Linked DNA regions of Sus scrofa. The protein of the gene in region 6 interacts with the protein of the main gene of each other region in a biochemical or structural test. Links are inferred from orthologs where the notes say so. Each region holds a gene or a part of one and is shown on either strand. Other genes may lie near its edges.

The links.
Region 1: the proteins of UBE2D1 (region 6) and SIAH1 form a complex in vitro, tested with the Homo sapiens proteins (3 studies listed by BioGRID). The link is inferred for Sus scrofa from reciprocal best matches to the Homo sapiens genes UBE2D1 and SIAH1.
Region 2: the proteins of UBE2D1 (region 6) and RNF125 form a complex in vitro, tested with the Homo sapiens proteins (4 studies listed by BioGRID). The link is inferred for Sus scrofa from reciprocal best matches to the Homo sapiens genes UBE2D1 and RNF125.
Region 3: the proteins of UBE2D1 (region 6) and TOPORS form a complex in vitro, tested with the Homo sapiens proteins (3 studies listed by BioGRID). The link is inferred for Sus scrofa from reciprocal best matches to the Homo sapiens genes UBE2D1 and TOPORS.
Region 4: the proteins of UBE2D1 (region 6) and RNF7 form a complex in vitro, tested with the Homo sapiens proteins (11 studies listed by BioGRID). The link is inferred for Sus scrofa from reciprocal best matches to the Homo sapiens genes UBE2D1 and RNF7.
Region 5: the proteins of UBE2D1 (region 6) and OTUB1 form a complex in vitro, tested with the Homo sapiens proteins (2 studies listed by BioGRID). The link is inferred for Sus scrofa from reciprocal best matches to the Homo sapiens genes UBE2D1 and OTUB1.
Region 7: the proteins of UBE2D1 (region 6) and HDAC6 form a complex in vitro, tested with the Homo sapiens proteins (2 studies listed by BioGRID, with this or other methods). The link is inferred for Sus scrofa from reciprocal best matches to the Homo sapiens genes UBE2D1 and HDAC6.

The regions. Positions count from the first base shown.
Region 1 is NC_010448.4:36,358,973-36,363,611, forward strand, and holds the start of SIAH1 (E3 ubiquitin-protein ligase SIAH1), read left to right. Parts: upstream 1-1,587; 5' UTR 1,588-2,270; coding exon 2,271-2,361; intron 2,362-3,870; exon of another isoform or gene 3,871-3,933; coding exon of another isoform or gene 3,934-4,018; intron 4,019-4,639. UniProt on the Homo sapiens protein: E3 ubiquitin-protein ligase that mediates ubiquitination and subsequent proteasomal degradation of target proteins.
Region 2 is NC_010448.4:115,871,019-115,875,139, forward strand, and holds part of RNF125 (E3 ubiquitin-protein ligase RNF125), read left to right. Parts: intron 1-3,214; coding exon 3,215-3,368; intron 3,369-4,121. UniProt on the Homo sapiens protein: E3 ubiquitin-protein ligase that mediates ubiquitination and subsequent proteasomal degradation of target proteins, such as RIGI, MAVS/IPS1, IFIH1/MDA5, JAK1 and p53/TP53.
Region 3 is NC_010452.4:33,865,108-33,869,688, forward strand, and holds the start of TOPORS (E3 ubiquitin-protein ligase Topors), read left to right. Parts: upstream 1-1,321; 5' UTR 1,322-1,472; coding exon 1,473-1,484; intron 1,485-1,506; exon of another isoform or gene 1,507-2,096; intron 2,097-2,643; coding exon 2,644-2,838; intron 2,839-4,581. UniProt on the Homo sapiens protein: Functions as an E3 ubiquitin-protein ligase and as an E3 SUMO1-protein ligase. Probable tumor suppressor involved in cell growth, cell proliferation and apoptosis that regulates p53/TP53 stability through ubiquitin-dependent degradation.
Region 4 is NC_010455.5:82,546,857-82,551,661, forward strand, and holds the start of RNF7 (RING-box protein 2), read left to right. Parts: upstream 1-1,618; 5' UTR 1,619-1,763; coding exon 1,764-1,938; intron 1,939-4,805. UniProt on the Homo sapiens protein: Catalytic component of multiple cullin-5-RING E3 ubiquitin-protein ligase complexes (ECS complexes), which mediate the ubiquitination and subsequent proteasomal degradation of target proteins.
Region 5 is NC_010444.4:8,087,759-8,090,643, forward strand, and holds the end of OTUB1 (ubiquitin thioesterase OTUB1), read right to left. Parts: intron 1,941-2,885; coding exon 1,822-1,940; intron 1,633-1,821; coding exon 1,548-1,632; intron 1,452-1,547; coding exon 1,257-1,451; intron 1,126-1,256; coding exon 928-1,125; 3' UTR 770-927; downstream 1-769. UniProt on the Homo sapiens protein: Hydrolase that can specifically remove 'Lys-48'-linked conjugated ubiquitin from proteins and plays an important regulatory role at the level of protein turnover by preventing degradation.
Region 6 is NC_010456.5:92,302,333-92,306,453, reverse strand, and holds part of UBE2D1 (UB2D1), read left to right. Parts: intron 1-336; coding exon 337-414; intron 415-1,584; coding exon 1,585-1,690; intron 1,691-4,121.
Region 7 is NC_010461.5:42,916,536-42,921,246, forward strand, and holds the start of HDAC6 (histone deacetylase 6), read left to right. Parts: upstream 1-1,677; 5' UTR 1,678-1,774; coding exon 1,775-1,870; intron 1,871-2,012; exon of another isoform or gene 2,013-2,166; intron 2,167-2,177; exon of another isoform or gene 2,178-2,204; intron 2,205-2,596; coding exon 2,597-2,719; intron 2,720-2,803; coding exon 2,804-2,932; intron 2,933-3,071; coding exon 3,072-3,160; intron 3,161-4,711.

The DNA.
Region 1 (4,639 bases), on a different chromosome or scaffold from region 6:
TTTAGATTAAAATCTAGTTAAACTTTATACCAAATGAGACTTGAGATGTAGGCTTTAGAAAGGGTAGGTAATTGGTAAATTTTGCGTTTTTGCTAACTTTGGATTCCATGGGCTTGTCTTAGTGTAATGTAGTTTTTGTGAAAAATTTCCTTCCTTGTAAAACCCATTTAAATAAATAATCTATCTAGACATTTTACTATATTGTGCTAAAAATTAAATGACAGTTAATCTTTGGTATACTTGGTCTCTAGTTGGTGACCTCAGGCAAGGCAGGTTAACTTTTGGAATTATGTAAGTGAATACTTCCATATTTTGGAATCTGTACCACCTGTAATGTACGTAATTTACCCATCTCCCTTAATCCATGTAAAAGCATGCAAGGCTGGCAGTACTGTTCTGATTTTACAGTTGAGTAGGTGGTGAAAGCTGGGTTTGAATCCCAGTGTAGATGACTCCGGAACTCTTCCATTTTTACTGTCGTGACTGACTTACTGAGAAATGTGTCCATAGATTAATGGTTTTCAGACAGTGTTGTAAGCTTCAATACAGGTCCTTTGGAAGTTGGAGGAAAAAAACTTTTTAGTTTGAGGAATTTGTCATCCTTTTTACTTGTTTTACAAATTTGGACTCTGTCTTCATACTGTTTGGAAAGAGTTTTTCTGCCTAAAACATTTAAAAGTCTTCTACTTTAGAAACCCAACACCTAGCTAGAGTGAATATGTATTAAAAAATAAAGACATTGGTAATAATAATTTAGATTTGTCCGTGGACAGATTATATTTTCAGTTATGTTTCAGTTCCTAATGATGTTTTGTCTAATATCAAAATGAGACTGAGGTGACTGAATACTATTAATAGGATGGGGAAGTGATTTGAATTAAAATTTTATGCTGAAAATGGACAATCTACAATTTACACAGGGTTCACTCTCCACTACAAGCTCTTGCTCCCTTTAAAGGCTGCCCTAAGCGTGATGTAATGACAGGTTAAACCTCTGAATGCTGGAGCTGACGCAATGAGAATCTGAGGCCCAGGACTTTATTGGGACAAGGGTAATGCTTGTTTAAAAACAAAACAAGCTATTTTGTTTAATGAGGGCGTTTAAGATGGCTTTCCCAGAGTGGGAAGAGAATAAAATCTCAATTTGGACGTTGAAGTAGAAGTTTAATATGGTTATGTGTTTACGACTCTCACTGCGACGGCTTCTCGAATCGAGAAAGGAAGTTTGAAATAAGGTGCTGACGGCGGTAAAAATGGAGAAGTGAGTTAGAATTGAGGAAATAAGGTAGTTGACATCTGATAAATAGTTAATGAAGTAGACAAATGCTTTTGCTATATAAAAATCCGGAGTTTGCACGGTTAACTGGCAGAGTATAGAGCAGAGAAGAGTGCTTGTCTGGCCACGTATTTTCCATATATTCTATGTAGCGCTATGAAACCACCCCAAATTGCGATATCCGACTGTTTGGGCCTACTGAAACGGAGTGTTTCCACCTCACGTAAGCCGGTGGAAAAGCTGAGGCGTGCGGTATGTCTCCGGGGATCGCGAGGTTCTGCGGAGCTGGGTAGCTGTGTGGGAGTTGCGCGCTGCATGCTCGGGATTCTTGCCAGAGCCGTGCAGGAGCGACTGCGAGCCCTGGAGCCGCCCTAGGCCGAGTGGGGCGGAGCTTGCAGCCCCGCCTCCATGCGCCGGCCCGCCCCTCTCCTGCCGCGGCAGCCACCGCCCTGAGTGCTTTGAGCCTTCGGCCGGCTGGCAATCTGCGTTGGAGCAGGCTCTCCCAGCGGCAGCCCGGCCCAGGCCTCCAAATGGCTCTCCCCGCGGGCCGGACCCTGCAGCGGTAGCTCCAGAGCTGGGACTGAGAGCTGCACCGCTTCGTCCAGTCGCTGCTGCGCACTCTCCAGCCCTGTCCTTCACCGAGCTGGCCAGAGCCTAGCCGATGAATTTGGGAAGACAAACTTGGGAGACAGACGAAGGTTTAGGGCCCAGCAGAGGACAGCTCAGCAATGGCTCCCATTTTTGGAGACGCAGGCGAATTTGAGCTCATGGGGAGGTGTGGTCGACTCCTCTCGGGGCGGGAGGGTGCTTCATTTCTCTGCCGCTGTAGCCGGTGCTTCTGAGGAGTGAATGGAGTGTATGGGGCATGGCACGTGCCTTCCTGTCTTGAAAAGTTGACCCTGGACAAATTTAGGAACGGAAGGTGTCCAGTAGGGCCCTCTGTTACAAATAGTCTCTATTCGTGGGGGAAAGGCTATGAGCTGCCTGGCTTCTCATGACCGGGAAGTCTCCCTTACCTTTTCTGTACTCCTGGAGGGGCGTCTTGCTCACTTGTTTACCAGCATCCGGGACAAGGAAGAGAAAAGGTATTACTGTTAAGAGACTGGGTTGCTTAAATTGTGAATTGGGCAAGTTGTTATAAGCTGGTGGAATTTGAATGGATCAGGGAATGGCTGCAGCGTAATTGAGCTGGAGATGTTTCTTTTGAGCAGCTCTACTTTTCTCAGTTTAAAACAAACTTCAGGTTATGCAATGACTCCTCCAGGGTTGTCCAGACACTTGAATCCTTGATTCCTACTGCAGGTCTGCTGTGTTCTTAGGATTCCTTTTCTGTTTGAAGATGGAGCTGGGTTCCATCTTCTGAGCTTTGGGAGGTTTTAGCAGCTGCTGTCCTGTAATACTTTCATTCATAAGAATTACAAGCTACATTTTGCTTGCTTTTCACACTTTGAATAGGAATTTAAATCGTGCTTTTTCTACAGTGTTTGGAAAAATAATAAATATGTGTTATATCATAAGTCTGAACTATTGATGATAAATGTGTAACTATTTTCCTAGGTCAAGAAATTAAACAGTAATGCTTTGCTTGCTTAGTAGTTATATTATGTTGAATACAAACTGAGTTTACTGCCTCCTGACGCGATTTGTTGTTTTGGCGTAGTGAATTGAAAGGCATTGGTGGCTTAGATCATTTTGTGCTGAAGGAACCACTTCCCAGTTACTACGTTGCTCTCTTAAAATAAGCAGCATAAAATGGACTATGAAGTAAGCATACAGCACACATACAGGGCATTTTGGTAATGCTAAGCCCATTGTTCTGCTAGTGACCTAAAATAAAATGCATAGATCATCATATGCACAAAAAAATCTCCTGGGGAAAACTGGATTACAGGAGAGTTCCTTTATATTGGTCTAGAACACCTGGGTTACACAGGGCTTCAGATGGTAAGAATTGATTCCTGTTGTCTTAAATCCTTGTGATGGGCCACATTATGATAGAATCCTGTGGTACTTTTGTTTCTCCTTGAACTTTAGTCCTTTAGTGACAGTGATCTTTCCGATAGAATAATTACAGTTAGGGAAAATATGAAATCTGAAGAGTTAAATTTTAGTTTGATAGAAATATGGCTTAGGGTTCTTGGGAATATACTCTTAAGGACGTCCGTAGACTGATCTTTTGTCATCCCCAAGAAAATGGCCTACCGTATCCCAGCAAAGGTAGATTCCTGGGAAAAGCTGCTAGTTTATCTTTCATTCACCCTGACACATAGTTAACATTGTTGATCATTTCTTCCAGATGGCATTTATTTCATAAATAGTGTTTATTGGTGTGCTGATGAATGCTTCAGCAACACTGGTGAACTTTAGGGTACGAGGCATTCTTTACCTGTTGACTCTATCCCTCACCTCCACTGTTGTGTGAGTCTCTCTGGTGCTTTTGATCTTTATTTTCTTGACTCTCCTTCACCTTTGCAAATTATACTGGTTTATATTGTAGAATGGAAGTAGAATGATTTACTGTGTCTAAATACTGGACTCAGAACTTTTATGAGAGGATGGCCCTCCATTTCTCTTCTACTTTCTCACTTTTGAAGGGGGCATGGATCAGTAGGAAACAAGATTAATTCCTAGCTGGTGTTAACTTTCCATGAAGATGGATGATGAAGAGGAGGTGGATGGTGGGATGGCAGCAGACCCTTCCCCTTGTCGCCCCTTTCATTCCCCAAATTACTCCTAGAGCAGGTAACCGTTCATCATTAGGAGGAATTAATCAAAGTCAGTACCCTGGTGATCCTTTGGATCACATGTAACTCCCTGGAGCACATGTAACAGCTGACTCAGAATGAGTAGGGGAGGTGGGGGAGAAAGTCCAGTCAAAACTGATTTTATTGCACTTAAGCTCCTTCTTGTTTATGGTCCAGTTTCTATTTTAGCATTTATTCCACGTAGTCCATCCAAGTATGATTTTTAACATTTTTTTTTTTTATTTTTTTTTATTTTTTTGTCTTTTTGTCTGTTGTTGTTGTTGTTGCTATTTCTTGGGCCGCTCCCGCGGCATATGGAGGTTCCCAGGCCAGGGGTTGAATCGGAGCTGTAGCCACCGGCCTACACCAGAGCCACAGCAACGCGGGATCCGAGCCGCGTCTGCAACCTACACCACAGCTCACGGCAACGCCGGATCATTAACCCACTGAGCAAGGGCAGGGACCGAACCCGCGACCTCATGGTTCCTAGTCGGATTCGTCAACCACTGCGCCACGACGGGAACTCCCTTTAACATTTTTTAGAGAAAAGGAATTCTAAATGTGCTCTGGAACCTTTTGAGAAGAGTACAACTCACGTATTTGTGTCAATTTATGTTTT
Region 2 (4,121 bases), on a different chromosome or scaffold from region 6:
AGTTCATGTGTCTGGCTTCTTTACTCAGTATGTCTTTGAGCTTCATCCATGTTATTGCTTGTATCAGTTATTTGTTCTTTTTTATCACTGTGTAGTATTCCATTGTAAGACTGTGCCCCAGTTTGTTTATGCATTTACTTGTGGATGGATACCTGGGTTATTTCCAGTTTGGGGCTAATATGAAAACATTCCTTCTGAATGTTCTTGTACAAATGGACTTTTTTTTTTTTGTTTAATCTCTCTTGAGTAAATACATGAGCTTGGTATTGCCCAGTCAAGGGCTCCCCTATTAGTTTTGTTTGATCAGACAGACACTACCAGTCCATTTGTCCCAAGTGGTTGTAGGTGATTAACTTTTTAAAAGAATCGTTTATTGTGTAGGTAATTTGTTCATATAGTTGAAACTTAAAAATCAACAGTGAAAATACCCTTTTTCTACCACATACACCATTCTTTCCAGTTCCTATTTCTCCAACAGGTAGGTAAATGTTCTTGTTTTCTTTACCCTGGATGTTTTTATCTGTCTACAAACCTGCAAGAAACTTATACTATATACACACTTGTATACTTTGCTTTCTAAAAGGTTTTAATTTTGAGTTGTCTGGTCTGTGTGCTCCATTATATAATATAAATTTACCTAAAGTTGAATAGCCCAGTGTGTATTCTGATTGGACAAATCACAAAACTTTTGATTGCTTGTATACTTTTCATGCCAAGGTAAAAGGGTAGGGGATGTTAGATGCTACAGCCCTCATGACTTAGATTTGATAACTATACCTTTAAGGAGAGCGTGTTTACCTCAGGTCTTCTGAACTAAGCAGTTCTACAGTTTGGTTTCTGCACCCTAGAAAGTGACACTTGAGCTGGAGTAGCATCCAGTACTTTTCCATGGTAATGCTTTTAAATATTGTGGGTTTTCAACATAGTGTCTGTGAGGATTTGGGTTCAACCCCTAGCCTCACTCAGTGGGTTAAGGATCCGGTGTTGCCACAAGTTTCGCTGTTAGGCTGCAGATGCGGCTCACATGCAGCTCAGATACCATATTTCTGTGGTTGTGGTGTAGGCCTGCAGCTGCAGCTCCAATTCGACCCCTAGCCCCGGAACTTCCATATACCACAGGTGCAGCCCTAAAAAGGAAAAGACAAAAATGACCAGCCAAGTCCAAACTCCATAGATGGGACCTTGCAAAAGTAAAATAACTTTATGTTCCTTGGTTTCCTCATCTATAAAGGAATAATGATCTTTCTTAGGCATTTGATAAGGTTAAATGAATTAAGATATGTGGAAGTGTTTTAAAATTTTGTAAATGAAAAAGAACCATGTATCAAGTAGGAAATTATATCAAAATATAAAGTTACCAAACAATATTAATACCAAAAACCCCTAGGAAGAGAAGAGTAGAAACCCAGCAGATCTGGGGTTCTAAAGAAAGAGCAGGACAGTCCCATCAAGTTGTCGCTGAATCGGTCCTTATGTCACTCTGTTTAGGAGTCATCTCCACTTAGTCTGGCTGACATCAGGCACTCTGCCTTCAGCAGGAGGTTGTGTGCAACTGGGATGAGGTCCCACTAGATTGTGTCTAACACATGATGTGTGGTTCCTGCAGAGCAAAATCAGGGTGCTATGGCAAGAAAAGGGGAAGTGGATGGTGGGCAGGCATAAACAGCAAGCAAATGCCTCAAGAACAGTGCAGACGTCAGCATGCTCTGTGTGCAGTGTAGGGATTTTGTAACAGAGGCAGAAGAGACTGCTTTTAAGAGTCAGCAATGGCTAATATACTTGGGAATTTCATTTGCATTGTTTCATGGAGGAGTTCCCGTTGTGGCTCAGTGGGTTACAAACCTGACTAGTATCCATGAGGATACAGGTTCAATCCCTGGCCTCATTCAGTGGGTTAAGGATCTGGTGTTGCCATGAGCTGTAGTGTAGGTCACAGACATGTCTCAGATCCCACATTGCTGTGGCTGTAGCTTAGGCTGGCAGCTACAGCTCAGATTCATCCCTAGCCTGGAAACTTCTGTATGCCACAGGTATGGTCCTAAAAAGCAAAGACATACATACATACATAAATTCATGGAACAATATATCTATGATAGACTGACTTTTCAGTATGTATAGTATACTTAAACTTGAAGCTCTCAGATCGTGCCAATGTGTATAACCTATCAAAAAATGCTCACTTTTACTTCTGTGCCACTTAGCCTTCAATGGCTCCTACAAATAGGTCAAGATTTTGAATTCTGTTGATTATGTTAAGACTTTATCATGATCATCTTTAAGTAAACCAGAGAATATATTTCTTGACTTGCAGGACATTCCTAATCGTGGTAATTTTGACTAGATAATTTTCAACATCTACAGATGAGGTTTTTTGGGGGTTTTTTTTGTCTTTTTTTTGCTATTTCTTGGGCCGCTCCCGCAGCACATGGAGGTTCCCAGGCTAGGGGTCCAATTGGAGCTGTAGCTGCCAGCCTACACCAGAGCCACAGCAACTCGGGATCCGAGCCTTGTCTGCAACCTACACCACAGCTCACGGCAACGCCGGATCGTCAACCCTCTGAGCAAGGGCAGAGATCGAACCCACAACCTCATGGTTCCTAGTCGGATTCGTCAACCACTGCGCCACGACGGGGACTCCCCAGATGAGTTTTAAATTATTTTATAATGACATTACTACCAAAAACCCCTAGGAAGGGAAGGGTAGGAACCCAGGCAGATCTGAGGTTCTAAATAAAGAGCAGAACAGTCCCATCAAGTTGTCACTGAATCAGTCCTATGTCACTCTGTTTAGGAGTCATCTCCCAGAGAGAGGGTTCACTTAGTCTGGCTGACATCAGGCACTCTGCCTTCAGCAGGAGGTTGTGGGCAACTGAGATGAGGTCTCACCAGATTGTATCTAAGACATGACATGTGGTTCCTGCAGAGCAAAATCAGGGTGCTATGGCAAGAAAAAGGGGAAGTGGCAGAACAGCTCTTAATATACAAAGTGTCATTTAATACAGTTTCTAAGAGTTCCCAGGTGGCTCAGTGGGTTAAGGATCTGGCATTGTCACTGCTGAGGCTTGGGTCACCGCTATGGCATGGGTCCAGTCCCTAGCCTGAAAACATCCACTTGCTGACAGCGCAGCCAAATAAAAAAATAAAATAGAGTTTCCACAAATGAGCACCTAGTGCTGTTAAGGAAAGTGATGTATTCTTGGTTGGTTTCCTGCAGATTCTGCCGTTCCTGCATTGCTACCAGTCTAAAGAACAATAAGTGGACCTGTCCTTATTGCCGGGCATATCTTCCTTCAGAAGGCGTTCCAGCAACTGATGTAGCCAAGAGAATGAAATCCGAGTTCCAGAATTGCACCGAGTGTGACACTCTGGTACGTGACCCTGCTTTTGTTCATGTTACTGGCTTAGACCTTTGAGAAAATGGTGATGGCAGCCACTCCTTTCACCTATGCCTTTGACCTCATGCTACCCTGACTTTCCAGAGTTTAATATCTCAGCCTCTTCTCTTCCTTTCTCCCAATTTCATATGTATGGGCTGCAGGACTACAGTCACATGACACCTGATTTTTCAGACACACACTTTTGCCTACCACCTCCATTTCCTCTCTCCCCATTACTCCATGACCCTCTATTACCTGGCCTCCATTCCTGCCATGCAATTGCAGCCCACCCAGCGAATAGCTTTATTTGCAAATCCAGTGGCACATTTCCACATATGTCATTCTGGGCTCTGCAGTATTTATCTCTGTTAACCACTTCCTCCTTATTGCAGTTTTTCTCCCTTGATGCGACACTAGCCTGGTTAGATCATGTGAGCTCTTGCAAGCCGTGTCAAAGATTGTAGATTTCATCTTCAGTGCAGTAGTGAGTCATAGGAGAAGTATAAGCTTTTGATCAGGTTTATATTTTTGAAATATCACTCTAGCGAGTGCATGGAAAATGTTTTGAAGGGGACAAAAGTAGGGTTGGTAAAGCCAATCAAGTGGCTTTTAGGGCAGGTAGTAAGGAAACCGGGTTAGGGCAATAGCAAACAACAAAAGAGATTATTTCCGAGTGTTTTTAGGAGAGGACTTGAAGGAAATTGGTAATTGACTGGATATGGGGGTGAGTGAGAATGAGGTATC
Region 3 (4,581 bases), on a different chromosome or scaffold from region 6:
CTTGATTTGGAAAGAGGATGTAGGAAATTTAGTCACATGATAGTTTTTTTCTTACAGTATGTAATCTAGTCTTATGTGAAGGTATGCAACATAATGAAATCATGCAATAAATATAAGAAATTTTACACACTTTCAATTTTTTCTTTTTGCCTTTTAGGGCCGCCCCCCCCCACACACACATGTAAATTCCCAGACTAGGGGTCTAATTGCTACAGCCATGGCCATGCCAGATCTGAATTGCGTCCACCACCTACACCACACAGCACATGCAACTCCAGATCCTTAACCCAAGGAGTGAGGCCAGGGATTGAACCGGCATCCTTATGGCTACTAGCCTGGTTTGTTACCGCTGAGCCACAATGGGAACTACAGATTGTTTTAAAGAAGGCTTTTTGAGGCATTTCAAAAGTGTTTTAGAAACTAGCTTGAAAGGCTGTCAGATCCAGGTTCTTTGTTATATGAGATGATAAAAGACAAACCCCTAAATATTTGATAAATTAATACATTAACGGTTATTACAAAAGACTACACCAAAATGAAAGTGGAAACTTGTATTAAGGATTTTATTGTGAATCAAGACGAGTCCGATAAGCATGAGGTAAAGAACTGTATATACATAGAATTAAATTCAGAGGCGTTACAAATGTTCATTCGTCCCGAACATTTTGTCTGGGTGTTCCTTCTTTAGCTGTCGCCGCGCAGCTACAGTTGATGCATAGATGACATATCCCCATGAGAGTAGTACGACCGCGAGGAGCAACTGAAAAATGCAAGAAAAGGAGTAAAAGCAAAAACACGTGAGTGGCATTTCCTCCCCGCCCCCATCAGACAGCCCTGCACGTTGCCAAGGTGCAAATTTTAATAACAAACGAATAAATGGGGTTCCGGAGGCGAGTACACCAAGCCGCCCTGACGTAAGAAGCGGAAGAGCGTGTCCTCCAGGAAGAGGCGGAGTCGAGGTGAGGGAGTGAAAAGCTTAATTCAGGAATGGATTTTGGAGTTTTTGGGCGCTGAAGAAATACGGGGCCTTCCACCCGCGGGCCGGAGGAGTCGAGCCCTTGGGGCCCCGCCAGGCCCGGGGCCTACCGCTGAATAAATCCGGTCTAGGGTGCGGCGACTCACTGGCTTCATGGTAAGGAGGCGGCGGCGGTCCACGGGCACGGGCGGAAGCTACAGGCCTTGTAGTATCCTCCGGGGCGGTGGCTGCCGGGCGGCGGCGGCGGCGGCGGCCATCTTGCAGCCGGGCGCGAGCGCCCGCCCCGTCGCCTCCGCGCGCGTTTCCCATCGAGCGGCCGGCCTCTTCCGCCCGGAGCTGGGGGCGGGTCACGTGACGGCGGCCTAGCCCGCCTTTGAGGGAGGAGGTGAGAGAAACGAGGAATTATTTACTTCAAAAGTGGGTTTTTTGTTTTTGCCGCTGAGAGGGATAGGCTTGACTCGTCAGCCGATCTTCCTTCACTTGCTGTGCAGTATTAATGCAGGATAAGGTACTGTCGTGTGCATTTAAAAGTTTACTTGAAAAAAAAATCCACGTTTTAAATATTACACCGGCGTCCAGCGGTGGAAGAATTAATGTTTCCTCCGGGACTTGTTCCCACAACATAGGTAGTCGTTCGTGTATATTTATCTTTGAAGTAAGCTAGAATGCCGCCCGCTTTTATGTTAACTAACGCATCGTTATGGGAGTCCTTGTTAATTGAGCTTCTTTAAAAAGTCTTTGAGAACGCGATGGCTTGTTGATGCCAGTGATACTTATAAAAAGAAATCACCTGGCACGGACTACCTAGCCTAATGTACCTGCCAATCAACAAGTGTTGGTTGAACATTTGTGCTCAGAACGGTAGCAAGATCAGATAAATATTAAGCCAAAGGACGGAGTTCTGTACTCGGGCCGTTGTAGTAAGTTCAGCTCTAGAATGTTTGGGACGCGCACATTTGAGGCCTAACGGTAGAATGAGGCAACGGGCCGCTTTAGGCTCTAGATGTCTTGTCTCTAAGTATCTCAGTTATGAACTGCACAGAGTTTTCATCCAGCTTTCGGGGAGTGCGGAAGGAGGAAAACGTCATCTGGGGACGATTTCAAGGCTCTGTGGTCATAGGTAAAATCCCTGTTTATCCCCAGACTGGAATAGATCTCTGTCTCTGAAGACTGTAAACCTCGGACTTGGGATTCCATTCGAATCCCGGTGTTGGTTGGTAACTGCAACCGAAAGTCACTTCAGCTCCGTGTAACTCCGTTCCTTTATCTGTACAGCAGAGAGTTTCAGTAACTTCTCAGAGTTTGGTGAGGTTTGAAAGGAGATCGAACTAGTTACCGTGTCTTCCGGGTAAGGTAGAAGCGAACATTAACCCCCCTGCCGCCACCCCCCGAGAGATTGATAGTAACAGGAGTGAAGCTGTGGTAGCGATTTCTGTCTGGGGGGTGCTCTCGCCGCTCCCATTCCTGGGGCGGAGGGCGGTGGACGGTGGGGGAAGGGCCGGGTCCGGGCTGCGCGCGCTAGGCCCCGCCCTCGCTGCTGGCGTCTTCCACCGCGCATGCGTTACGTTGGCGGGTGCTGTGTTTTGACGCGCTGGGCCTGCCAAGTGGGTTTTGCCTTCTGCCACCGCCCCCAAGCTGCCATTGGTGATGATCGCTTTACGTCACAGGGGTCGCAGCAGCCGCCGGGGTCTCCGCTGTCTCGCGAGGAGGGTGAAGCGCCCCCGCCCGCTCCGGCTCTTGAGGGCCGGCGGAGAAGTCGCCGGGTTCGCCTTCGTGGGTCCTGCCGTCACCGACCCAGCTTTCTGGGCCGCCGGGAGCTTGCCACGAGCGCCCCAGCCGGGCCTGCACCGGCATCCTCCGAGGTGAGTGAGATCGGGAACAATGGGGCGCGGAGGTCGGAAGGGCTGGGCGAGCCCAAGCTCCCGCTCGCATCGAGGCCCAGGGGCGCGGGAGCTGCGGTCGGGCCTGAGGGGCCGTCGCGACCCGGCGGGCCGGGGTCTGGGACAACGGCTCCTGCGGCACACCTGTGGATCCACGCGGTTCGGGTGGGCGGGGAAGGGCTGCGTTTCTTAGCAGCGCTCCCGAGAGCGCGAGCGCGGCGGTGTACTAGATGGAGCTTGGTCGTAAGGGAAAAACCTGACACAAAACACAAAACAGTCGAGTCTGAATCGTGGCGTCACCTCTGTCAGAGATGTGACCTTGGATGGGTTGCCTAACCTCTCTGAGTATGTCTGTAAAATGGGAATAACAATATTTTAGTTCGTTGTGATTATGTAATGCACGCGGTGCTCACCCTAAGGAAGGGACTGTCGCTGTGGCTGTTGGAGTTGTCTGTGTACTGTTACATCCCTTGAGCCTGTGACTTCTTCATCAAGTCAGTGCAGCTTTTCTCACGGGCTGCTGATTGGTAGACTGGAAGGGGGCAGTACTGAGAAAAAACAAATAGTGATTTGAGTGCAAAAATGGATAGAATTTTTGGTAGGTAATTTTCGAGATTTTTTTTAGATGAATAACAACAAAGCTATCGAAGATTTAATAGCCGGTGAGAGTTTGGGGTTTTTTGCTTGTTTTTAGTCAATGACTTGCACAGTCACTCAAAGCAATCTTATCTGGAATGAGTGGCTTTAGAGGGGAATGGTTTCCAAGTAGTTCTTTTTAATTGCTGGAAATGAAATTAAATTTTGTGTTATGGTCAGTAGATTCTATAACTTCTGTTTGATTTCTTTGGGATTGGTGATGAAATTACAGTTCAGAAAGGTACAGTGATTTCTTTACTGTCAAAAAAGATAAGGCCCAGATTACTTTTAATACTTCGGGGTGTATATCTAGTTCATCCACTTGGTGAACCCATTTTAGCTACTTTGCTTAGATGTGTTAAATGCAACACTGATATTAATATGAAGATCATTTAGTTGTTATAGACTGTCATCTTTCTGGGCATTTATAATCCATCATGGGTGATGGAAACGACCAAGATTAACTTTATTTTCACATAACATAGAAAAACAGTATTAAGTTCTTACTGTACAGCTGTACATCAGAGTTCCCGTTGTGGCGCAGTGGAAACAAATCTGACTAGGAACCATGAGGTTGCGTGTTTGATCCCTGGCCTCACTCAGAGGGTTAAGGATCTGGTGTTGTGGTGAGCTGTGGTGTAAGTCGCACATGTGGCTCAGATCTGGCGTGGCTGTGGCTGTGGCGTAGGCTGGCAGCTGTAGTTCCAATTAGACCCCAGACTGGGAACCTCCATGTGCTGCAGGTGCAGCCCTGAAAAGACAAAAGACAAAAAAATAGTTCTTACTACACACCAAGTACTGTGCTAAATGTTTACATGGAATATATCCCTTCACACAACCACTTTTTTTAGTTAAGTACTGTTACTTAACCTATTTTAGAATTGAGAAAATGTAAGGTTTTGAGGAAATAAATAACTTTCTCCAGATTACACCCTAAGAAGTGGTTTTGATTCTCAGCCCTGGCTCTGCATTTAGAATTAACATCAATTTCTTCATCAAATGTAATCAACAAGTGATTAAATTGTATGTATATATAGTGATAATTTAAGGAGTGCCATAAAAGACAACTTTTAAGGAAGCGTGGCTTTA
Region 4 (4,805 bases), on a different chromosome or scaffold from region 6:
TGCCCAGTTCCCCCCAACTGGGGGCATTTTATCCTCATCTGGTTCTAGCCTTCTTTTTTAAATTAACTATCTGGCATTTATAGCATCTCTAGTCAGATGTGTGGTAGCTTAATGTGAGTAAAATGTGTGTCCTTTATGGTTCATCTGGGTTTGTTTACAGGCATTTTTGTCTGGCTCATAAACTTAGTGGGGTCAACTTTACATCTGCCACCACTACTACTGCTCTGTTCAACCTGACAGCCTTGCAGAGGTTTGCTTTCTCCACCCACTTCCGGGCCTCCGATGCCTCCCATCTTCCCCCAGTTCAAACGTCACCTCTTCCATCAGCATCTAGCCAAATGTGACCCAAATGTATCCACATTTATATTTTCACACATATATGCTTCCTTGCCTCCTCCGCCAGATTTCTGGAGCTTCTAGCCCCCATCCAGACATCAGGAGAGGAGGGGATGAGGCCCAGTAGGAAAAGGTGGGAGGCTCTGAATTCCAAACCCGACACAGCAGGTGTCCACCACTAGGTGGTAGTGGTGATCAGGCATCTTCGTGGGCTCTCCATACCACAGCTTTCTTATTTAAATAGAGATGTTATCTGCTTTGCTTGGGAAAACATAATAATATGACCCCGGGCTAGATGCAGAAGAACCCTGGATTCAAAACAGTTACCTTTAGGGAATAATGGTGTGTCTTTATCTTATTTTTCTGGACCTCAACATTCCTATCAATAAAAGGAGGATGTTGGACTAGATAGAGGTTCTCAGAGTGTGGTCCCCGGGGGTTCCTGGGATCCTTTCAGGGGAAACAAGGTCAAAAGTATTTGCATAACAATATTCACCGCTATTTCTCTTCACTTTCTCCTGTGAGTATACAGTGGAGTTTTATAAAAGCTACAAGATATGTGATATCCTTGTTCTAATGATTACTTGTAATGGGTTTATTGCTTTTCCTTGCGGGGGCGGGGGGTGGGGGCACACCTGTGGCATATGGAAGTTCCCAGGCTAGGGGCTGAATCGGATACAGCTACCAGCCTACACCACAGCTCACAACAACACCGATCCACTGAGCAAGGCCAGGGATTGAACCTGCATTCTCATGTATACTAGATACTAGTCGGGTTCCTCATCGCTTAACCACAACAGGAACTCCTATGGTTATTTTTTAAGTGAATACATTAAAATTTTTTTCGTATTTCTTAAAAAAAAAGTGTGTGTTTGTGTGTACACATATTTTACAAACCGAAAGTTCTTTAATGTTCCAGTGATTCTTAAGTGTAAAGGGGTGCCAAGACCAAAAAGTTTGAGAACGGCTGAACCAGATTTCTAAAAGATAGTCATTCATTCACTCAACAAATAACTACCCCTCCTGAGGCCAGGCATTTTTCACATACCCAGGAGAAGGTGGTGATCAAGTCACGTCCTCGCTCCGATGGCGTTTTCATTTAGGAAGGGAGTACATCAATATGACAACTTGTGAGAGCCAGAAGGGTCACGAAGGCATAAAGCAGAACACCTGCTTCCTGCACCGGCAACCCTCCTGAGCGCGGCGCCCATTCTTGGCCAAAGAGTCGGAGCGGGCCGGGCCCAGGGCGCGGGGGCGGTGACGTCACTGGGACGCGCCAGCCAGTCTCGGGCGGCCTCCGTCGTAGGCCCCACGGTGGCCCGCAGCCTGCGGGCGGCGCTGTGGCCCGGCGAGGGGCCCCAGGGAGCCGCCATAGTCGCCCGCCTTCCGCAACCTAACGTCTCCGCCGCCGGCTTCGCGCCGCCGCCATGGCAGACGTGGAAGACGGCGAGGAGCCCTGCGCCCTGTCCTCTCACTCCGGTAGCTCAGGAACCAAGTCGGGAGGCGACAAGATGTTCTCTCTGAAGAAGTGGAACGCGGTGGCCATGTGGAGCTGGGACGTGGAGTGCGATACGTGCGCCATCTGCAGGGTCCAGGTGATGGGTAAGCGCTGCACTCGAGACCCTGGCTGTGCTGCGGCCTCCGCGGGCCCAGCTCCGGCCCGTGGGACACACCGAGCCTCGGAGAGACTGTTCCTGGAGGTATAGGGGCGGGGTCGCCCTGCCTGGGAGCGAAAGACTGGGGCCACGCCCGTGCTGCTGCTAGTCGGAGGGCTGCGGCCGGCGACGGGGACTGGTAGTCTGGGGAACGAAACAGGTGGAAAGCAGGGCAGTTAAAAAGGTAATTTCAGGTAGTGATGGGTGTGGTCAAGACAATAAAAGTAGGTGAGTTGATGGGAGCTGCGAGGCACCACTTTGGTTTGTGGGCCCAACCTCGCCACCCTTTTCTAAAAGCAAACTGTAGAGGTCACGGTCAAGGCCCTGAGTCAGCGGGTCGTTTTAATGCTTCTTTTCACACACCAGAGTGATGCTCTGGAGTCATCTTCCACAGTAATGACTCTTAGTCTTGTTCCGGAGAGGCGCAGGAAAGAAGTGTCCCTAGCTGTTGCCTTTCGGGATTAGCTACTGTTCTGCTGGCTTTAAAACTTGGATGATTCAAGACTGGTCAGATGGCAGTAGCTTGTCTTGAAGAAGAATGTTAAGCCCTTTATTCAGAAACATAAATTTTAATCTCATTCCTGGCCCTACGCTATCAAAGGATGCCATTTCCTGGAGAAGACAGTGTCCTGATAGGCCTTTGTGGAGAATTTTCTTTTACAAATAAGTCACTTCTTTCTATAAATTTTTTTAAAAATATTGGACCAAGTGAAACCTTTCGGGACAGCTTCATCCTGTTATATTTTATATGGTTTCTGTTCTAAGATCTCAGAACACCTTGAAAAAGAGATGCTGTTTAAATGCATCCTTATTTTTTTTAATAGGGCATTTAAAATCACTGTGAGAGCATCTTAAATGAAACCGAGGTTTCTATAGTTTGAAAGCTTTTACATCTTAAACCGAAAAATCAGAGTTTTGGAGAAAATAACTCAAAAATTGCTCTCAAATCAACTATAAGGAGTTCCCTTCGTGGCGCAGCAGAAATGAATCCGACTAGGAACCAAATCAACTATAAAAGAAAAAATAAAATCTAAAAAAAAAAAAAAAATCACTCTCCCTTCTTGAGGAATGAAAATTCAGAACTGCCAGAATCAAGAGGTTTCTTCATTTACCCTCTCTGTAGTATGTTTTCTTGTTTTTTATTCATAAAATAAGGACTCATTTTAAAAGCAGATTTACAACAATGAGATATCATATATTTATTTTTTTACTTTTAAAAGAATTTTATTTCAGACATGATCCACGTGTTTTGCATATTAGGTTTTAAAAATACCTTGTTTATTGGCCTGCAATACAGCCCCCTTACCCTACTCCTTACTTAAAAACTGAAATCATAATTTCTGCTTTGAGTGGCATTTTTGACTTATCCAAACAATTTTTGTTCTTTTATGAGAAAAAACTTTGTTAAAAATTTTATCCCCTAAGTGATTAAAAAAAGAGGTTTTTCTGAAAGGTTATTTTCTTCTTCTCCCCAGGGAAAAATTTTAAATTTGTAAATAGAAATGCAGAGTTTTAAATAATGGTTGAAATTTGGCAGCAAATAAACCTTCCTGGTCAAAGTATGGGCTCTAAATGACTTAACAGGCACATTAACTTTCTAATTATAGCAAGTATTCCGCTACTGTGGATTAATGTTGCAGATTTACAACAGCTGTACTTTGGATTCAGGAAAGTATTCTGGACTAGACCTCTATATTTTGATTATAAGGTGTTAAAATCCACTTAGTGGTCAGGTGACGGCAGAAGGAAGTTTTATAGACTTGCCAATCCTTAGGGTAGCGTCATTCTTAAAGGTGTTACTGTTATTGTACTCCTTAGAAATGTGCTGTTTTAGATATTAGGAATATCACCAAAGGAAAAATGTTTTCTTTTATCTGAAACTTTAGGAATTTTTATACATTTAGGTCAGTTGTTTTTTTTTTAAATAATTAAATCAAAGCTATAAGCATAATTCAGAGATTTTTAGATTCTACAAAGAGCCTATCTAATCCCACTTCCTTAATATTTGGAATTCAGAATTCATCTCATACATCTAAATGATTTGTTATGACTTCTTTTTTAAAAAAATTTATTGTAGTTGATTAAAAGTGTTTCAGGTGTACAGCAAAGTGATTCAAATACACACACACACACACTTTTTTTTTCAGATTCTTTTCCATTGTAGGTTATTTCAAAATTTTTATGACTTCTTGATCTAAGATTTACCTGTCCACCCATTCTGATGTAGTTAACACTTCCTTGTTTCCACTCTTCCCCACCCCCACCCCCTTCATTCTGAAAGGAGCAAATGACACAGTGAGCAAGCACTGACAAGGAAAAGGGGAATAGGTTTGCTAGTACTGTAGAGGTATAAAGAGCGAGAGCTGGAGTTCCCGTTGTGGCTCAGTGGTTAACGAATCTGACTAGGAACCATGAGGTTCGATCCCTGGCCTTGCTCAATGGGTTAAGGATCCAGTGTTGCTATGAGCTGTGGTGTAGGTCACAGATGCGGCTCGGATCCCGAGTTGCTGTGGCTCTGGTGTAGGCCAGTGGCTGCAGCTCCGATTAGACCCCTAGCCTGGGAACCTCCGTATTACACGGGAGCAACCCTAGAAAAGGTAAAAAAGACCAAAAAAAAAAAAAAACCGAGAGCTGCATGTTAACTGGGACATTTGACATAACCTTTTGGAGCCTTGTTTTCCCAATTTGTAAAAAAGGCAATTGGGGTCATTAACTGTAATTCTCTGATTGCACAGAATCAGGGCCTTGTCTTCACCCTGATATCATGATCCTTATATGTAGTTGTTTGCCTCTCTACCTCCCCATTTGCTGGTG
Region 5 (2,885 bases), on a different chromosome or scaffold from region 6:
GCCTAGAGGGGCTGGCGAGCGCGCTCAGTGAGCCAGGCAGGTGGAGGCACGGGCCAGACAGCAGAGGTGGGCAGCACTTCACATTTATTGAGGGCCTGCCCCCAAGGAGCTCACAGCCTGGGGGCTGAGACCCCACATGTGCCAGGGGAAGTGAAGAGAGGAAGGCAACGCAGACACCGCGGCCCAAGCAGAGGGGATGCAAAGCAGGCACAGGCAGGGGGTGGTGGGGTGGGGGAAGAACGGGGGCCTGGCCAGCCCCGCTAGACTCCGGGAAGGACAGACTTGAGGACAGCCCTCCCCCGCCCGGAGGGCAGCACCTGGGGTGCACTAGGGTGGCCCAGCTCCTCCGCCTACCCTGAGCCAGGCCGCACCCTCAGGCCAGCCCTCTCCACCATGCAGACCCCTGATGGAGAGCAGGTGGCCGGGGAGGCCAGGGCAGCAGGGCGGAGGCGTGGCCTATGAGGGCAGAGCTGGAAGCCTTGGTGGTCCTGGGGCTCTGGGCCAGTCTCCAAGGAACTTCCAAATTCCCCTGGAAGGCCTGGCTGGCTAAGGAGGGCAGGGGCAGAGGCCTGAAGGGAAGGAAGCAGAGGCCCAATAACCAGGAGGGGTCCCCAAGAGGCCTAGCCCCCTCAAAACTACTCCTGGCGGGGAGGCTTGGGGGTGGACAGGTGGAAGGCTGAGAGGAAGCCACCTGAGGGGGGTGGGGCAGCCAGACAGAGAGCAGCCAGGAGGGCAGCAGCAGAGCAGGGACACGCACACACGCGGCTCACCACCAGCGTCCCCTTTAATAAAACATGGAAGGTCGTGTGACAGGGAAGGGCGTGGGGGGTGAAGTACGACCATTTACAACCACAAAAAAAACCTCTGTACATGTCTAGTGCCTGGCAGAGGGGAGGGCAGGCAGGGCGGCGGCAGGCCGGGCCAGCCCTATTTGTAGAGGATGTCGTAGTGTCCAGGCCGGTAGAGAAGGTAGACCTTGGGCTCGGAGCCCTCGGGGAAGATGTGGGGGTTGGTGGTGCCGCCCTCGCCGCGGTCCATGTACTCCACCTGGATGGAGACGCTGAGCGCCTGGGCCAGCGCGATGATGTGGATGTGGTCGCTCTCCTTGCACATGGGCTCCACCTCCTGCAGCACAGGGGCCGCTCAGGGCCTGGGTCTTGGCGCCTCCGCACCCCCAGCCACCCGGTGCACCCCCGGGCCCCGAGGCTCCCACCCTGAGGCCCCAGTGAGTCTGGGGAGCGGGGAGGGGGCAGCACCTGCTGGCAGAACTCCTTGACGGTCCGCCCACCCTCGATGAAGTGCTCGAAGAACTTGCTCTCGCGCTGCAGGTAGCCCGAGGTGAGCAGCCGCAGGTAGACCACCAGGTAGTCCGAGGTGCTCTGGTCGTTGAAGGAGGCCAGCAGGTCGGCCACTGAGGTCTGCTTCTCCACCTGCTCGATTAGGTCCATGAACTGCCGCCCAAGGGGGACAGAGAGCAAGTGAGGGAGGAGATGGGCCGATGCTGCCTCGGCCAGGCCCCCCGCCCTCCACCCGGCCGAGAGGCTCACCGTGTTGTGGAAATCCTCAATTGTGAATTCGGTGAAGCCCTGGGACACCAGGTCCTCTTTGCTCTTAGCAGACACAGCCTTGAACCTGCAGCCGGGAGGGAAAGAGAGGCTGCGCGGGCTCCTCGGCCAGCAGAGAGGCCAGCTCAGAGGTGGGGGCCCGGGCAGCACGGGAACCGCACCTCCTGGTCCCCAGGAGGATGGAGGGAGCCCCTCGGGCCCTTCCTAGGACCCTGCCCCACCCGCCTCTTTGTGCTCGAGGGCCCGCCCTCCTCACCGCTGCAGCTCCTTGCTGTCATCCAGCAACGCCTCCAAGTGGGAGAAACCGAAAGCACGATAGAAGCAGTTTCCATCAGGCCTGGTCTTGCGGATGTACGAGTACTTTTTGTGGAGGTCCTGCGGAGAGGCAGCCCCCGCCCCACCCGGGCCCATCAACATCAGGCCAGAGCCAGGGCGGGCCGAGGAAACCGCCCTGACGAGGTTGCTCTACAGCAGGTGGCAACTAAGCTCCAAGCAGCCACCTGCCATCCTTGGCTGCTGACTCTGGTGATGCTACCAGGAGCCCCCAAAGCCTCAGGAAACTGACTTCTGGACACATAGGTTGCACGGGTCACCAGCGGCTGGGCAAGTGACTGAGTCCTTGATCAAAGCAGCTTTTCCAGGGAAGGACCTTTCACACTTGGAGAGCTCCAGGGCAGCGTGGTGCCCATGGCACAGCCTGGGGCTGGACACAGCCTCCCTCACCTCCTTCTAAGCTCTACCCCGCCCACCCTCAGGCACTGGCTCCATCTTTTCTGGTTCCCTCCCCAAACTCAGTGAAATTTCTTCTCTGTCTGTTGAACCTCCCTGTAGGAGTCAAGGCCTCACTCCCTCAGCCTAGGCGCCCTCCCCTTCTCCCCGACACCCATCTCATACCTTTTCTGTTCTCTTCAAACCCCCACCCACCTTGACCTTGCTTCCTTTTGGACTGAAGACTTCCCCTGAGAACCCCAGCCCCCACGGCACACCTGCCCATGGCCTTCACTCTGGGCCCTGGGAGGGTCTGAGGCCACGCCTCCCTGGGATGAGACACTGTTCCAGGGACACTGTTCCAGGGGGTCGCCGCCCTCCCTACAGGTTCAGACCCATCAGCATTTAAACACCAGGAGAGTTCTCCCTTTAAAAAAAAACCTTTGCTTCACACGAATTCCTTTCCAGCCACCACCCAATTCCCCTGCCCCGTGCACTGTCTCCGTCCCCTCCTGCTGTGACCTCAATCCAAGCAGGCTTTTGCTCTAGTGAAGGTCACGGATGCCTCTTAAGTCCAAGGGTCCCCCTCTTCCCCAGACCGACTGCTCAGCA
Region 6 (4,121 bases):
TTTGGGCCGCTTCCACAGCATATGGAGGTTCCCAGGCTAAGGATCTAATTGGAGCTGTAGCTGCCAGCCTATGCCAGAGCCACAGCAACGCGGGATCTGAGCCGCATCTGCAACCTACACCACAGCTCAGGGCAACACCGGATCGTTGACCCACTGAGCAAGAGCAGGGACTGAACCCGCAACCTCATGGTTCCTAGTCGGATTCATTAACCACTGCGCCATGACGGGAACTCCTGGCATTTTTTTTTTTTAATGATATATTTTGGGGAAATCATTTTAGGTTACTACTAATAAATATAGTAATCAAACACTGATGCAATTATTTTGTAATTTCAGCCTGATAGCGCATATCAAGGTGGAGTCTTCTTTCTCACTGTACATTTCCCGACAGACTATCCTTTTAAACCACCAAAGGTATCTTTATTTTTATGGTTCATGTGACAACTCTGTCAGGGGTTTTACTCTATCCAATATTTTCATGATGTCAAAAGACCATGGGTAGGCTGGCATGTTCAATCTTTTCTATAAAACCACTGAATCTAAATTATGCTTTCTTACTCAAATATTGTATTATGTCTGTACACAGGAGGCAGTGTCTCTTAGGCAGTAAATTAGCTTCCCTACCTGTCTTTCTCTCCTCATTAGATATATGTAGTACAGGGGGGTTTTATGGTTAAGAATTAGACTTTCCATTCAAGGGGTTATCTATCCTAGGTTGGCCCTTCCTTCTCAGTTTTTAAGCACTCAGTAAACATTTGCTGAACACCTACCATGTTCTGTTGCATTGGGGAATATAAAAACTAAATGTGACACAGTCCCTTTAGTGTGGTAGGTGGGATTAAAAGCACGTTCTTATTAAAGTTAGATCAAAAGAGGAAACAAATGATGGGAGTATATCAGTGCGGGAGGAAATCATTAACAAATTCTGTCACTCAAGAAATAATTATTTTAGATTTTTAAAAACCCCTGAATAGGGAGTTCCTCTCTGGCTCCTCAGGTTGAGGACCTCCTGTTTTTGCTGCTGCAGCTCAGGTTGCTACTGTAGTGTGGGTTTGATCCGTGAATCAGGAGCTTCTGTGTGCTGTAGGCATGACCAAAGAAAACATTGTATATGAAGTGATATAACAGCTCTTGTGGAAGATTAGAATTCTTGGTGAATTTCTTAGGACAGGTTATAAGCCGAGGCCCCTCAACTTTCTTCTGGAATAGGGTCAGCATCCTATTTTTAGATCCAGGTGTCCCTTTGTTAATCAAATTAAGAAAAGTCTTGCTTTGAGGGATGGTTAATTACCTCAGGTGCTGCCGAACCAGTCATACTAACCATTGTAGACTTATTTATCACACTTTCCAAAATAATTCTTAATTCCTTGGGGTGGGGAGAGCAGGAGACTGATTATTTGCTTTCACATTATCAATAGCTAAAGCTTTGCGAGTATAAAGTAGATGCTCATCCAGTTTGTGTTGAATGCATTTCTCCAGTAAGATCACATAAAATTGAGGACATTTTACCCTGGGGCAAATTAATTGTTTGGTTTCATAGTTCATGGGTTGTCACAGTTTTGTTTTGTTATGTTTTATGCCTAGATTGCTTTCACAACAAAAATTTACCATCCAAACATAAACAGTAATGGAAGTATTTGTCTCGATATCCTGAGGTCACAGTGGTCACCGGCTCTGACTGTATCAAAAGGTAATTTCCTTTATCAGATTTATAGTTGTTGGTAACAGTGAGACAGGAAAAATACAGCAGAGGTATCTCAGAGACAAAAGTTTAAAAAAACCAATTTACTGTGTTTTCTTCTGCTTTGATACTGCTTTGTTTTCCTATCTTTTATATTACTCTTGCTTGAGGAGTTGATGGGCAAATCTAAATGATGAAATGTCAGAAATTTAAATGTTAGAGCTAGGAATTTGGGGATAAGCCAGTTGACCTTTTACTCCTTTAGTTTGGGCTTTATCTTTAAAAAGAGAGAGACAGAGACACGCAAACACACACATAGCAATACAAATGAGATTTGGGGGGAGTTCCCATCATGGCGCAGCAGAAACAAGTCCAACTAGTTTTCGCGTTCGATCCCTGGCTTCACGAAGTGGGTTAAGGATCCGGAGTTGCTGTGAGCTGTGGTGTAGGTCACAGACGTGGCTCGGATCTGGCCTTGTGGTGGCTGCGGCATAGGCTGACAGCAACAGCTCTGATTGGACCCCTAGCCTGGGAACCTCCATGTGCCATGGGTACGGCCCTAAAAAGACAAAAATAATAATAATAATAAGATTTTGGGACCAGTTGTCCTACCCATTAGATGGAATTATTTATTGACGTAATGAGTAAAGCTTTACATCTAATTCACTTCATCTAAGAAGAAATGTCAGACTAGGCAGATAAAATAAATGCTTTTAAAAGAGAGACATATTTACCACTTTAGAATAATGTAGCACATGTGGCATGTTAGTCTAAACTTCAAATAATCTATAGCATCCTTGTAAGGACTGATACATAATCCATGGAGATTCTCAACTTTCGCAAATGTATATAGCACTGTTCTTTAATAAATTATGAGATGTATGTATAGGGCATCTGAAGCTGTTTTGTTTCATTAGCCAATGCTGTTTGCTTTGCCAGCCTCTTAATTTTGTCATGGTTCTCCAACAGAAGAGAACTTGAATTACTATTTTGAGTTAGAAGCATCTGCCCCTAAAAGCAGGAGTTCCCGTCATGGCGCAGTGGTTAACGAATCCGACTAGGAACCATGAGGTTGCGGGTTCGGTCCCTGCCCTTGCTCAGTGGGTTAATGATCCGGCATTGCCGTGAGCTGTGGTGTAGATTGCAGATGCAGTTCGGATCCTGTGTTGCTGTGGCTCTGGCGTAGGCCAGTGGCTACAGCTCCGATTCGACCCCTAGCCTGGGAACCTCCATATGCCGCGGGAGCGGCCCAAGAAATAGCAACAACAACAACAACAAAAGGACAAAAAAAAAAAAAAAAAAGACCAAAAAAAATAAAAATAAAAAAAAAATAAATAAAAGCAACTTGGTAGTTTGCTTTTTATAAAATTTAAGAAAACTGTTTCTCTTGAAGGATTCAGGAGAGGAATCCATGGTCATTTAATTTTTTTTTTTTCTGCTTTTTAGGGCTGCACCTGAGGCATATGAAGGTTCTCAGACTAGGGATCTAATCGGAGCTATAGCTGCCAGCCACAGCCACAGCCACAGCAATGCCTGATCCAAGCCACGTCTGCAACCTACACCACAGCTCACGGCAACACCAGATCCTTAACCCACTGAGCAAGGCCAGGGATCAAACCTGTTTTCCCTTGTATCCCAGTCAGATTTGTTAACTGCTGAACCACGACGGGAATGCCTAGAAAATTTTTTTAATAAATGTTGTCTGAATATGTAATGAGGTCTTTTGTGATTTTTCTTGGTGTGCCCACAGCATGTGGAAGTTCCCAGGCCAGGGATTGAACCCACACCACAACAGTGACAACACCAGATCCTTAACCCTCTGAGCCACCAGGGAACTCCTATAACTTGTTTTTTAAATGCTAAAGGAGTTCCCTGGGGCTCAGTGGGTTAAGGAGCCAGTATTGTCACTGCTGTGGCGCACGTTCAGTCCCTGGCCTGGGAGCTTCCTCATGCCTTAGGTACACCCAAAAAAAAAAAAAATTCATGTGGATTCTAGTGTCCTTTTAAAAATCTTTCACATTGGAGTTCCCGTTGTGGCTCAGTGGTTAACGAATCCAACTAGGAACCATGAGGTTGTGGATTCAATCCCTGCCCTTGCTCAGTGGGTTAAGGATCCGGTGTTGCCTTGAGCTGTGGTGTAGGTTGCGGATGCAGCTCGGATCCCGCGTTGCTGTGGCTCTGGCGTAGGCCGGTGGCTACAGCTCTGATTAGACCCCTAGCCTGGGAACCTCCATGTGTTGCGGGAAGCAGCCCTAGAAAAGGCAAAAAGACAAAAAAAAATTAAAAATTAAAATAAAATTAAAATCTTTCACATAATAGGCGTTCCCGTCATGGAGCAGCAGAAATGGATTTGACTAGGAACCATGAGGTTGCTGGTTCGATCCCTGGCCTCGCTCAGTTGGTTAAGTATCCAGCGTTGCCCTGAGCTTTGGTGTAGGTC
Region 7 (4,711 bases), on a different chromosome or scaffold from region 6:
GAAAAGGGAAGGTGTTCCCGTCATGGCTCAGCAGAAACGAATCTGACTAGCATCCACGAGGACGCAGGTTCAATCCCTTGCCTGGCTCAGTGGGTTAAAGGATTCGGCATTGCACTGAGCTCTGGTGTAGGTCTCAGACACGGCTCCAAACTGGTGTGGCTGTGGCTGTGGCTGTGGTGTAGGCCGGCAGCTACAGCTCCGACTGGACCCCTAGCCTGGGAACCTCCATATGCTGCGAGTGCAGCCCTAAAAAAAGAAGATGAAGAAAAGAAAAGAGAAAGTGAAAGAAAGAAAAGGAAGGAAGAAAATGCCCCAGAGGCCAGTATGTGGCCTGCAAAACCTAAAATATTTACTATCTGGCCCTTTACAGAAAAAGTTTGCCAACCTTTGTTGTACAGAAACCTCCCTTCTGACTATACAAAAAAAGTGGGTCTTGGCCCTTACAAGACTCCCTACTCTTTCACTTTGCAAGCATCACCTCAGAACGTTCCTCTGTGTTTATCACTGCATATACATGTTTTCTCTGGCGTACGTGGAGGTGTAAAGGTCTTTTAGCTGCGACCCTCTTCCACTGGGACAAAAGACACGTTCAGGTAGGAAAAGAGTGGAAGGGAAGACTAGGTTGAAACGGGTTTGCAAGAGTGTCAGAGGGCCCAGCTACTGGGCGGTGGGGCTGTCAATCTGTTGGTTAGTCAGCGATGCTGAACCCCAGACCCCTTATCTCTCCCGCCCCAGCCTACAGCCCGGTAGGAAATGGTGAAGAATGAGAGAGGGAGATTAGGAGGACAAACCGGCCTCCTGCGAGGCTGATATTCAGACATTTAGCCATGGGGTGGGAGAGAGTTGGGAGGGCGCATTGTGGGGGGGGGGCGCAACTCCCCCCTACCCATACACTTTCTATTCCAGCTTGCGTGCAGAGGTTACCCACTGGAGGGAGCAGACAGGAAGAGCTGTCACCCAAGAAAAACTCCCCTCCCAAGGTCCATTCTGACTCCCCGGCACTATTATCACAATTTCCCAGAGGAGGAAACTGAAGCACAGAGTCGTTCAGTAACTTGCCCAAAGTCACATGGCTAAGTCCCATAACCTCAGTTTCCTTATCTGCAAAGCAGCCTTAGTACTGGGAAGTACCTCATAGAACTGTGGCTTACGACAATGCCTGTCACATACAACTTGCTATCGTCACGATCATTCCCCCTTCCATTCCACCATCCATTTTCGCGGCAGACTATTAATAGCTAACATTTGGTGAGTGCTTCCTTGCGTACCACCTTAGTGAATATGAACTCAGAAAATTCTCACATTTGTCATCATCACCACTCCCTTTTTGGCCGCCACCAGCCTCGTCCAATTTCCACCGCGCTCCAGGCCCAGCCACCAGCCCGCCCGCGCTACGTCATCACGGCGCGCCGCGCGGGAAGCCAGGGGGCAGGGAGAAGACGCCCTTTCCTAACTCCCTCGCTTGCTTGCTTGCACTCTTGAGTCACCGCACGGTACAGTTGGCGCGAGTCCGGTGGGCTCCTAAGGTAACTGGACAGGGACAAAGAAACCGCGGTCACGACCGCCAGGGTGACAGCTGTGGCGATTGGGGGAGGGGAGAAGCTTGAGCCCGAGCGCCGCGTCAGGCAGCCGGCGCGCGCTTCACGCAGGCGCGGCACGGCCAGCGTCGCGCACTGACGCGCTGATCCGCCGTTTGTGCGTTCCGCTGGAGGCGCAAGGCCGGCTCTCCCCGGTGTGGGCGGGATCGGGGCGGGCTGTAGAGAGATCTGGCCCAATGGAAAAGAGAGGCTCAGGCACCCGCGGCCCTACAGGTCGCCGAGAAATTGGCGGCGCGCGCCAAGGGCGGAGTTTGAGAAAGGGGCTGCGCCAAGTGAGTGGAGGGATTCGTCAACGTCGACAGCGGGGGCGGGGAGGGGGGGGCGGGTCTGGGGGAGGGGCTCGGAAATGGCTGTAGGGGCTTGGGGAAGCGTTTGGGGTTGGGCCTGGGCAGGGGGTGGAGCCTGGCGGAAGGGAAAGGGCAGTCCCCTGAGGAGCTGGGCTCCTTGAAACGTTAGGGGCGGGATCTAGCCTAGTGGAAGGTGCCGGTCCAGCCCGATAAGGGGTGGAGTTAAGTGGATCGTTAAGGGTGGAGTCGGGGCCCGGGGCTGGGGCTGGCTGAGTGAAAGGGTGGGTGATTATCCTGGGAGATTGGCTGGCCAGGGCAGGTTTGCGAAGGGGTGGGGTCTGGGCGAGGCTTTGAGGAATGAAAGGATCTGGGAATGGGGCTTGATAGAGTGAAAGGGGCGGTGATTAGCTGGCAAGGGCTGGCTTAGATCAGGACTGGGCCAGGGGGTTAATTGCTCTGTGAAAGAGCCAGACCGAAAGGGTAAAGAATAGTGTAAAGGGGTGGAGCCTCGTGGAATGGGCGGGACCAAGTGGAATGGACACCCCCTTGGAGGGAGAGAGCCTTGAGAGAGGCGGAGTTTAGAGGTGGTGGGGAATAGATAGCCTAAGGGATGGAGGCTAGCGTAGGGGGCGGGGCCTGGGAAGGGGCTGGGATGAGGGGTCTTCAGGGCGCTCGGGGCCCCTTCTCAGTCACCTCCATCCCACCCCCCAGAACCGCGTCAGGGGTGAAGTCTCCCCAGCCATGACCTCCACCGGCCAGGATTCCACCACAACCAGGCAGCGAAGAAGTAGGCACAACCCCCACTCCCCCCCACACGACTCCAGCGTCACCTCGGTGAGGCCCCTGACCGGCCCTCTTGAGGGGGAGGGGGAGCAGTGGGCCGTGTACTGGACTCTGACCCTTCTCTCTGTTTGGCAGAAGCGAGGTGTTAAAAAGGGTGCCGGACTCCGCTCCAGCCCCAATCTAGCGGATGTAAAGAAGAAAGGCAGAATGAAGAAGCTTAGCCAAGCAGCCGAGCAAGACCTAATCGTGGGGCTCCAAGGGCTGGTGAGAGGGGGCCTGGCTGCAATGTAGCCTCCTGTGACAATCAAAACCGTGAGGTTCTCCATCCTGGAGAGTGTGGGAGGTTCCCTCTGACTCAGGCTCTCAATGCATCAGCCTTTCCCTTTTTTCTTTTTCCTCACAGGATCTGAACCTGGAGGCCAGGACACCGTCTGGCACTGGCTTGGTGTTGGATGAGCAGCTAAATGAATTCCACTGCCTCTGGGATGACAGGTGAGGCTGGCTTCTCCAGGCCATACTCAAATCACACAAACATACACCCTTAGAGCCCATTAGCAAGAATGAATCCTTTCTTACTCTAGCACATGACCTAGGGAGACGAGGCTCAGGCTCGAATGGGTTCTTTTCATTTAGTCAACACATATCTATTGAGAGCCTACTGTGTGCCCAGGGATGGTGATTACAGATGTATCAGACCAGATAGACAGGGATCCTTCTCCAGGAGCTGACAGGCGATAAGGAGAGCAGGTCATCAAACAGCCGCCAGCAGTGTGAGGTGTTTTCATGAAGAAGGACTCGAGACCAGGGGAGTCAGAAGTGTTTAATAGAGGACCCTAGACTAGCATCCAGGGTTCCCAGGAGGCTTCCTTGAAGAAGGGATGTCTGTGCTGATACAGAAGAGTCACACGTTGCAATCTATCAGCACATCCTTTTGGCTCTATGTTCAGAATCTCACCTCTCCTCTCCGCCTCCATTGCTGCCACCATCATCTCTGACCTAGACTTGCAGAGGCCTCCCACCCTCAGCCCTGCTGCCCATGCTCCCCCTCCACGCCAAAAATATGTATAAGATGATGTTCTCTCTCTTTAAGTCCTTCAAGGGCAAACTGTTGCCCTGAAGGTAAAGTTCACATTCTTCACCCCAGCCTCTTGGCCTCTAAGGTTCCACGTGATCTGGTTCCCTAGCACCTTGGTGACCTCATCAGCCAGTCCTCCCCCTCATTCGCTTTGCTTCGCTTCACCTCACACACACTGGTCCCTTTACTGTGCTTCCAACATGCCAGGCACTCCCTCCCCTCAGGCCTTTACTCTGGCCAATGCCCTTTCCAGAAATTCACTTCCACCTTCTCTCCCAGTTAACAGTCATGTCTCCAGGAGACCCTCAGAGAGGGCTTTGCTTGGCCACTCCCCTTCCCCTGAGCTTCAGATTATTCCTAGCCATGTCATTGTTTGTCTGTTGTTATACTTATGTATTCACCAGTTTAGTATCTATCACCCCTATCCCAGTGGAAGAGTCAGGATGTCAAAAGACTTTACTATTGAAGTTCCCTTCGTGGCTTAGTGGTTAACGAACTCAACTGGGATCCACGAGGATGCGGGTTCGATCCCTGGCCTCGCTCCGTGGGTTAAGGATCCAGCATTGCCGTGAACTGTGGTGTAGGCCGGCAGCTGCAGCTCCAATTCGACCCTTAACCTGGGAACTGCCCTGTGCTGTGGGTGCAGCCCTAAAAAGACCAGAATAAATAGGGTGGTCAGGGGAGGCCTCAGTACGCGAGTGGGGATCTGCAGGAGGTGAGGATGTGAGCTACAGAGAACATCTGGGAGAAGCTTGTCCTGGGCAGGGGGAAGTGCCAGCTGGGACCTACTCAGTTTGGTTGAGGAACACGGAGGAGACCAATGCAGGAGAAGCAGAGTGAGTGGCCGGGGGGCGGGGGAAGCAGGAGGAAATGAGGCTCAGGGAGGTGACGGGGTGGATGGTTAAGGGCCTTCTGGGGCGGGGGAGCACTTTGGCGCTTACCCTGAATGAGATGGGAGCCATGAGAAG